2 linked regions of the Neodiprion lecontei genome follow. The protein of the gene in region 1 interacts with the protein of each later gene in a pairwise test. Links are inferred from orthologs where the notes say so. Each region holds a gene or a part of one and is shown on either strand. Other genes may lie near its edges.

Region 1 (3,932 bases):
ATACAATTATTGTAATACATTGATTATAAGATTTTCTATCTATTATTCATCATTATAAGATTTTGGGTCTGTAATCTGATTGGCGTATTTTTATATTTAGGTGTTGTGCCGCAGGACACTGTATTGTTCAATAACACTATCAAGTATAACATTCAGTATGGAAAAATTGAAGCACCAGAAGCTGATGTCATTGCAGCAGCTAAGAATGCAGATATTCATGAAAGAATTCTAAGTTTCCCTGACGCATACGAAACAATGGTTTGCTTACTTTAATGCTTGTTAACAACATTACAGAAAATGTCTTTGTATAAAATCTTTGGACTTTTTAACAAAATTTCTGTAGAATGTTTTGCTATCTAAAAAATTTTCCTTAAAATATTCGTTAAAAATCTCAGGCTTTGCTGTAAGACCAATGGGTATTTTTTATTTCGACACAGGTTGGCGAGAGAGGATTGCGATTGAGTGGCGGTGAAAAACAACGTGTTGCAATTGCTCGAACAATTTTAAAATCACCTACGATTGTTCTCCTCGATGAAGCTACCAGTGCTTTGGACACACAGACAGAGCGTACAATTCAAGCAGCATTAAATCGCGTCTGTGCAAATCGTACAACCATTATAATTGCTCATAGATTATCAACTATAATTCATGCAGACGAAATTTTAGTTTTGAAAGATGGGGAAATCATTGAAAGGGGTAAACATAACGAATTAATTTCGTACGGCGCAGTGTATCACAACATGTGGCAAGCGCAACTACAAAACAATCAAAACGGTGAAGTTGCTGTAGAAAATGGTGATATAGATGACGATGATAAAAAGGCATCCTAGATCCAATAGATCAAAATTGATGACATAACTTGTACGCATGTACATGTACTATGTGTATATTTGTACAAGTAGATAATTATGTCATGCCTATGTATACGTATTTATCTTAGAGCTTAATATAGTATACTCAAGAAACACTTTCTGATTTCTCATTTGTAGATTGTATTTTCTGTCACCTTGAGATATACATAAAACATTTGTCTACATATGTTCGTACAATATTTCCCGTTAACGACAAAAGTTTTGTTCGGGTTAAAATTTTGTGTCAAAAAATTATCCACGTGTAGATCTTTTGTTAGAGAACAGACTTTTGTTATTTGGCAGATTGAATAAGAATCGATGACGAAAACGAATACTTATGGCTTCCGGTAGCACAACAAACTACGATTTTTATCTTCCACTTTCCAAAATCTGTTTCTAATGTGCTCTTAAGTTAGTTAAATCCTATTAGAGGAAAGTGATATTTGTTCGTGATATTCATTTCTTAAAAAGCCTTTCAGAACTGATTTGAATTCAAAGTTGAATGGTGATTTTGTGATGAAATATGTTCTACAGATCACTAGATGATCTCCCTTTATTCTTCAGCTTTGATACATACAAGCCTTGGTTTGAATAGATTTTTATGAAGTTGCCAAGCAAACTGACAATATGTAAGCAGCGATTTCACGACAATCTTAATATGATCCAAGTTTGGAATATTTATGTAAGTCATTAAAAAAAACTGACTTCTGTTTTAAATGCATTGTTTTCGGTTTCTTTCGTCACACAGTCGTCTGTACAGTTGATAGATTTTCACTGAACTCTAATACTTATGCATGCATGCACAGCGTAGTTACCGGTCGGATGATCTCTGCAGGGTGCAGTTTTTCACGCGGTCGTCTATTTCCTCAAGTCTAAAAATAGCACTGTGGAAATTATGGGAAAGAACCAGTGACTTCATCATCCCCGCTTGCCTGGAAACCAGCCAATCAGGCTGCGACTTGCTAGTTGCAAAGGTCGGGGTTTTTGGAGACTGAAGACGTTCGACATTTGTATAGCAACCTGTTACGCGTGACGTCACAACTAACTGTCTTCAGTCAACGTCTAGTGTGTAATTGGAAGGTAAAAAAAATATGTTTTGACGTGAGAGTAAACCAGGATTATTTCGTTAATTCTATTAGATTAGTATGCAAGATATAATATCAGATATTAGTAAAATTTAAACACGCAATGTAAAATTAAATTTATTTTCAAACATTTAACCATATAACGAAATCCAGTCTGTCGCGCGAACTTCTAACCTATCTGACTATTTCTAGGGTAATTAACTCGCAAAACACTTTTATTTGATTCTTGTGACACTTTGTTGAGATTCTTCGCAGTTCATCGTCATGTTCGCCTACGTAATCAACGCAACTAACCCAACACAACCATCTTTTATCTTGTTTCACTTGCCATGTTATTGTTTGTAAACAATAGAAACTGGCACCAGATATTGCTCATGGCATTAACAGCACATAAGGCCTCCAAATTCCAATAATTGCCCACTGGCAACTTGTTACAAAGATGGATAGTTTCTCAATCCAAATACAATCCCTCACATTTTAATTCAATGTAATTTTCATCATGATCTAGTGCTTTTGGCTTTGTCATCGACTATCCTGAAATGGCTGTGCAGCATGGACAGACTAATCTTTATATCGATGATTTGCCTTGGCTTGAAAGAGAAGAATTATGCAGAATTCTCAATCAGAACAATGAATGGGAAGAGCTAGCAGGTAACGTTTTTACCCATAAATTTGCTATAAATCAGGACCAAGTCAGGTTTGGCTAATTTTTTATTAACAGTCGGAAGCAGCGTATCAATAAATTTAGACTCGATTTAAGATAGAACCGAACGGCTGAACTTGATACCATGTCGTACTATAAGTTAGAGTGAATAGTGAAAAACAATATTCGTCTTTCTTTAGGCAAATGGATGAAATTTGATGTATCTACTGTTCAATGTTTAAGAAAGAACGAAAATCCGACAGATAAGCTTTTGAAAATGTGGACTACTTTCAATCATACAGTACAGGAACTGTTCCTTTTATTATATAAGATGCAACACCATCAGGCAATGCTACTTCTGAAAAATTTCGTCAATCCCAAGTACAGCAAGCTTATCACCAACCGGAAAAGGCCTTCAGCACAATTATTGAATTGCCATGTAGCTGACGAACATTCAAAAGATCTGAAAATAGGAACTAACAATTTCAATCACATTCAACCAGCTTCAAGCGATGTGCAGAAGCTTTGTATTTATCAAACAATGTACGAAAGAGTGGCAAAAATGTTAGACAAGTTCCCACTGCCGAATGATCTAGATCCAAGCAATTCGGATAATATGCTTGTACCAACTGGTGTAAATCAAAATCTTGCTCCAGTTCCAAGACCTGTAGTGGATGGTTCTAAAAATAATAATCAATTGAAGATATCACTTATTGATACCGACCTACCTCAACCATCTTATGAAGAATTAGCAAAAGCTACGCATAATTGGAGCAAACACAACATACTGGGAAGAGGAGGTTTTGGAACAGTTTTTAAAGGTCAGTGTGTACCGTGTTATGCATACATAATTCAATTCAAAACAGATAATTCTTAGGTGAATGATCTCTGGACAGTTGAAAATTTTACTAGAAAATAAATTCGTATACATAGGATTCAAATCAACTTACAAAAAAGTTTTAAAAATAAATCATGTAACTAATTTGTCAACTGGTACTGACTTTAACACTTCTCAAATCTAGGTATATGGAAAGGCACCCCAGTAGCCATTAAAAAAATAGAACAACGAGGTTCTGATTCGAAGGAAAGCTACTTGATCCAGGTAGAACAGTCTTTAAGAGAATTGAAAATTTTGTACGCCCGGAGACATGACAATATCCTGCCACTGTATGGTCACAGCATAGGCGGAGAAGCCCCATGCCTAGTATATCAACTCATGCCAAATGGATCATTAGAAGATAAACTTTCCTTGAGACAAGGATCCCAACCCCTAAATTGGTTGCAACGACATAATATAGCCACGGGTACAGCTGGAGGCTTACAATACCTGCATACTATTGGCCACAAGCCACT
Region 2 (3,932 bases), on another chromosome or scaffold:
ATATAAAAATCTGAAAAAAATTGTGCATTGTTTTTGAATTATTTATAGTTGATTTGGTGGGATGATCCGGAATAGATTCGTCAACATTCTAAATGAGGACCATCCTAGTGTACATACCTATATGCGTAACGGTATGCCGATCAGGTTCAATTACCGAAAACCCTCGCTGACAAGCAGCGCGAAGCTCGTCAAAAGTGGATTGCCAATCCACACGATACAAAACTAAACGCAACCCTTTTCATACGTATACACTTCTGTCAGCTGTGCATGAAAAGGGAAGAATTATATTTAGGCCTATTCGGTACTGCAGCGTTTCACGGCTCTGTATATCGAAAAACAAAATCACGAGGTTGAAGTTTCTAACGTTACCCTAACGAAATGTTAAAGAGTGGGGGGGGGGGGGATCACTATTTTGCAAGTTTATATTAACTTTGAAGCAGTAAAGTTTTCGAAATATGAATATGATTCGTACTGAAATAACGATTTTTTCGAAATGTAAATGATTACAATAACGTTTACTAACTTCAGCTCCATGCAAAGTTCACCTTCTGAACTCAGGACTTGTGCTAATAATAATCGACTGATTTACGCCGAACTTGCGGTTTGTTTCAGACGATCGGTTCTGCAAGTAAAATCGTACGTGCACAGAGCATGAAAACGCTCGTTCGCCCTTGAGAACAACTCGCTCGGAAACATTCAAATATTTACAAATCTAACATTATATAGATAAAAGGTCGAGTCAGAGCATACTTCTTGTTGTTGGGCAAACAGACCCCGACCTTCATTGTCCTACAGTAATTTGGGTTCAAGGTATAATCGCAAATCAGTACGCAGTTAATTACGAGCAAAAAACTAAAAGTTCCTGCAGTTTATCATGTTTAGGAGAAAAATCCCGTTACTTCGCACATTTAGGATTATTTGAAATTCAGTCATCCGTGATGAACCAAACATACTCATATATTTCGAAAAGTCTGGTCTTTGAAAGTCATTCGGAAATTGCACGAATTTTACAGTCACTTTCGAAGCTGTCAAGTTTCTGAAGTAATAACATATTTATTCTTATTATGGTTTACCGCACTTCAGATATATTTCTAAAATACTTCGACACTTGAATCGTTACAATAACGTTACTAGCTTCAGCTGCATAACAATCATCAATTTATACTCCGTTTAGTTTCCCCCTCGATAGTTTGATGGAACAAAAAATGAACAGTACCGCAGTTACTTCTCAGTCGAACGATTTTTCTTCACATTAAATCCAACTAACGCCATTGAGTCTTTATCGCAAAAAATGAACAATAAAAACCAACCTGGAGGCGGTGTACATTATTATACATTTCGCGTTTGCAGCTTTGTGAAAAAATTTTCTTCGATGTATTCAAGATTTTAGGTATGTCGGGTAGCGTAAAAATATAAATTGATCATGGCTACGCTGATGTACTTGTGTCAATATTGATGCTGTGCTTGCTCCCATCTGCAAAATGCATGTGGCAAGCTATACGGAATAAACAAGACCTCAAAGCTTCGGGAAAATATTTAACAAGAACAGTGTATAAAGAACAAACGAATGCTCTTGAAAATTAATTTCTTTTTACCAACATACCCCATTTATTTTTTCACATTCAATGAATCGACACGTTCGATGATTCAGGAACCGGACGAATGACGTATGTAATGACCTTAGTGTTGAACTCTGTTTGAGTTTAAGTTAGGTTATGTTTTTTGTTCTGTAATTACAGTAGCGGTGTGTGAAAAGTCGATGAGTGGATAGTTTGACGTTTGAAGGGTGAAAAGACGTGTCGAAACAAGTTGGGCGCAATCGAGACCGATACGCGCAACACAGACACGGCCTCAGGAAATTTCAATATAAAAACTGTGATTGAAGTCAATGTAAGTATACGCACGTCGTGCATGACGTGCATGCAAAGTAGAAAGTGATTAATGAAAAGTATTAATATATTTTCGTTACCTTATCACCATCGCAGGTTCCGCGTTTGAGCCAATTTTGCTGCCTCGTTCGGCACACGTAACGGGGGCCACTTTGATAACGTTTACGTTTGAAGAAAACTTGCACGAGTTCTTAAGGGAAACAAAAGGACAAAGATAGGATAGGGAGAGTGAAAGAGAATGGGTTACTGTGTGTGTGGTTGCGTACGTGGGAGAGAGTGAGAAAGGGGGGAAGAGAGAGAGAGAGAGAGGAGAGAGCGAGAACGAGCAGGGTGGATGAACGGCGGGGAAGGGAAGAGAGAAATGAAAACAATGCGATTACACAGAAAAAAAAAAACTCGGATCGAGGACGACGGGTGTGATCCACTCGAGTTGTCAAACTGTAATCGAAGGTTGTTTTCACTGGATAAAATGGGCGGCGTTGGACTCTTCGGACGCCCTCAAACTGTCCTGATCCATGATTTCAGAATTTCAAGTCCAGCCACCGACGACGGCTCGACTCGGCGCACGAAACGGGGAGCGGGACACGGGTAGTAGTCAGTCTGTCGGTAAACTCGTTGAAAACGTTCAATCTATGTACCTTCACTTGTTACTGGATCACCATCACTTTGTGACACTCTTCAAGAATCGTACACTCTTATGGACGTGAGGTCCGTTCTGTGCCCGTGTGTAACACAACACGAGCTAGTGTTTTCATCGGGGATTAACAATCACGGGGCATGGCGACTGGTGCTGTAGTACCGTTCTACGCGATAGCAATATCTTCTCGGACAAACTCGGGACGCTCCGTGATCGGGACGCTCGAAACTCGTCTCGCTGCCGTCTCCCTCCCCCCCATCACCCCAACCGCCCTAAACCCCCCCTCCTTTTGCCGTGCCACATGTGCGCGCGCAAAGTTTACCAGCTGACCTCATCGGCCACGAACTAACGAGTTTTTAGACACGAAATGTCGACGAGCCTCGCGTTGCGAGCGTTCGCAGAACGTCCGTCATTCAACTGAGGATTATAATTAATGATCAGGATCGTTTCGATGGTCTCTAATAGAAATTGACTTAACTTTACAGAGGTTGATTATAAAAGACCTAACCTTGGCGTGACGATTATAATCCAAATAACTCTACGGTTCCTGATTGATAGAAATTATCTTCTATGCTCGTATGTACACAGGAGTTAACTGTTTTATCATCGAGGTCCGTAGAGTTACATGGATTATAAGCTTCACGTCAGAGTCAGGTCTTTTATAATCAGCCTCTCTAAAGTTTAGTGAATCTTATTAGAGGCCAACGACTTTAATCCTGATAGCGTAATGCAATGTAACAGTTGTCGCGTTGCCAATCATAGTGTCCTCTTCTGAACCGCGCGGTGAACTAGAGAATCCTCTATTCCTGTTTCCTCTTTGCGACTTTTTCGTCCTACTGTCCCACAGTATCGGCGAGCAGCCTTTTATTTTATCGTTAGTCGTAAGATTTTGCTTTCATAGAGGCCGATATGCATTTGAACAGTGCTGTAAAAATAGTTATGTAGATTTTTCATTCTTATTTCTCTGCAAAAATACTGGTGTAACGGGTCGGTTCATGTATGCGGATGCACCGCGTGGGTAATCCATAGACCAAGGTAATCAACATGCGGTAAATCCGCCTGTGTGTAGGCATTTCACGTTACTTTTTATGCCTAACATTTGTTGCCTGTTCACAGGAGGATTTACTATTCTCCGTTCTGTCTGGTGCGCATACAAAAGAAAAAAACCGTGAACGAAAATGTACACAACGAAAACATGTGTTTTTTAATTTACATACAATATACATAGCTGTAGTAATCCATTATCGTTAAATATTGGTATATCAACGAAAACAGATAGAAATTGGAGAAGGTGGGAGGAGCACGAATAATAAATAAATATACTCAGGCATCGCATTTGCGTTACACATAATTAACTAGGTATTCAATAAAATAATTCTAAGATCTTACAGTAAGCTGAGACAAAC

What was found.
Region 2: the proteins of pelle-like serine/threonine-protein kinase pik-1 (region 1) and protein pellino interact in a two-hybrid assay, tested with the Drosophila melanogaster proteins (2 studies listed by BioGRID). The link is inferred for Neodiprion lecontei from reciprocal best matches to the Drosophila melanogaster genes pll and Pli.

What each region holds. Positions count from the first base shown.
Region 1 is NC_060265.1:9,923,444-9,927,375, forward strand, and holds the start of pelle-like serine/threonine-protein kinase pik-1, read left to right. Parts: upstream 1-1,191; 5' UTR 1,192-1,931; intron 1,932-1,937; exon of another isoform or gene 1,938-2,129; intron 2,130-2,444; 5' UTR 2,445-2,475; coding exon 2,476-2,587; intron 2,588-2,779; coding exon 2,780-3,400; intron 3,401-3,601; coding exon 3,602-3,932. Other genes in the region: ATP-binding cassette sub-family B member 6, read left to right, coding at 101-258, 438-830. UniProt on the Drosophila melanogaster protein: Plays an essential role in the Tl receptor signaling pathway that establishes embryonic dorsoventral polarity; the signal directs import of dl into ventral and ventrolateral nuclei, thereby establishing dorsoventral polarity.
Region 2 is NC_060263.1:2,901,665-2,905,596, forward strand, and holds the start of protein pellino, read right to left. Parts: upstream 2,767-3,932; 5' UTR 1,981-2,766; coding exon 1,970-1,980; intron 1,624-1,969; exon of another isoform or gene 1,609-1,623; coding exon of another isoform or gene 1,604-1,608; intron 1-1,603. UniProt on the Drosophila melanogaster protein: Scaffold protein involved in the Toll signaling pathway via its interaction with pelle/pll kinase.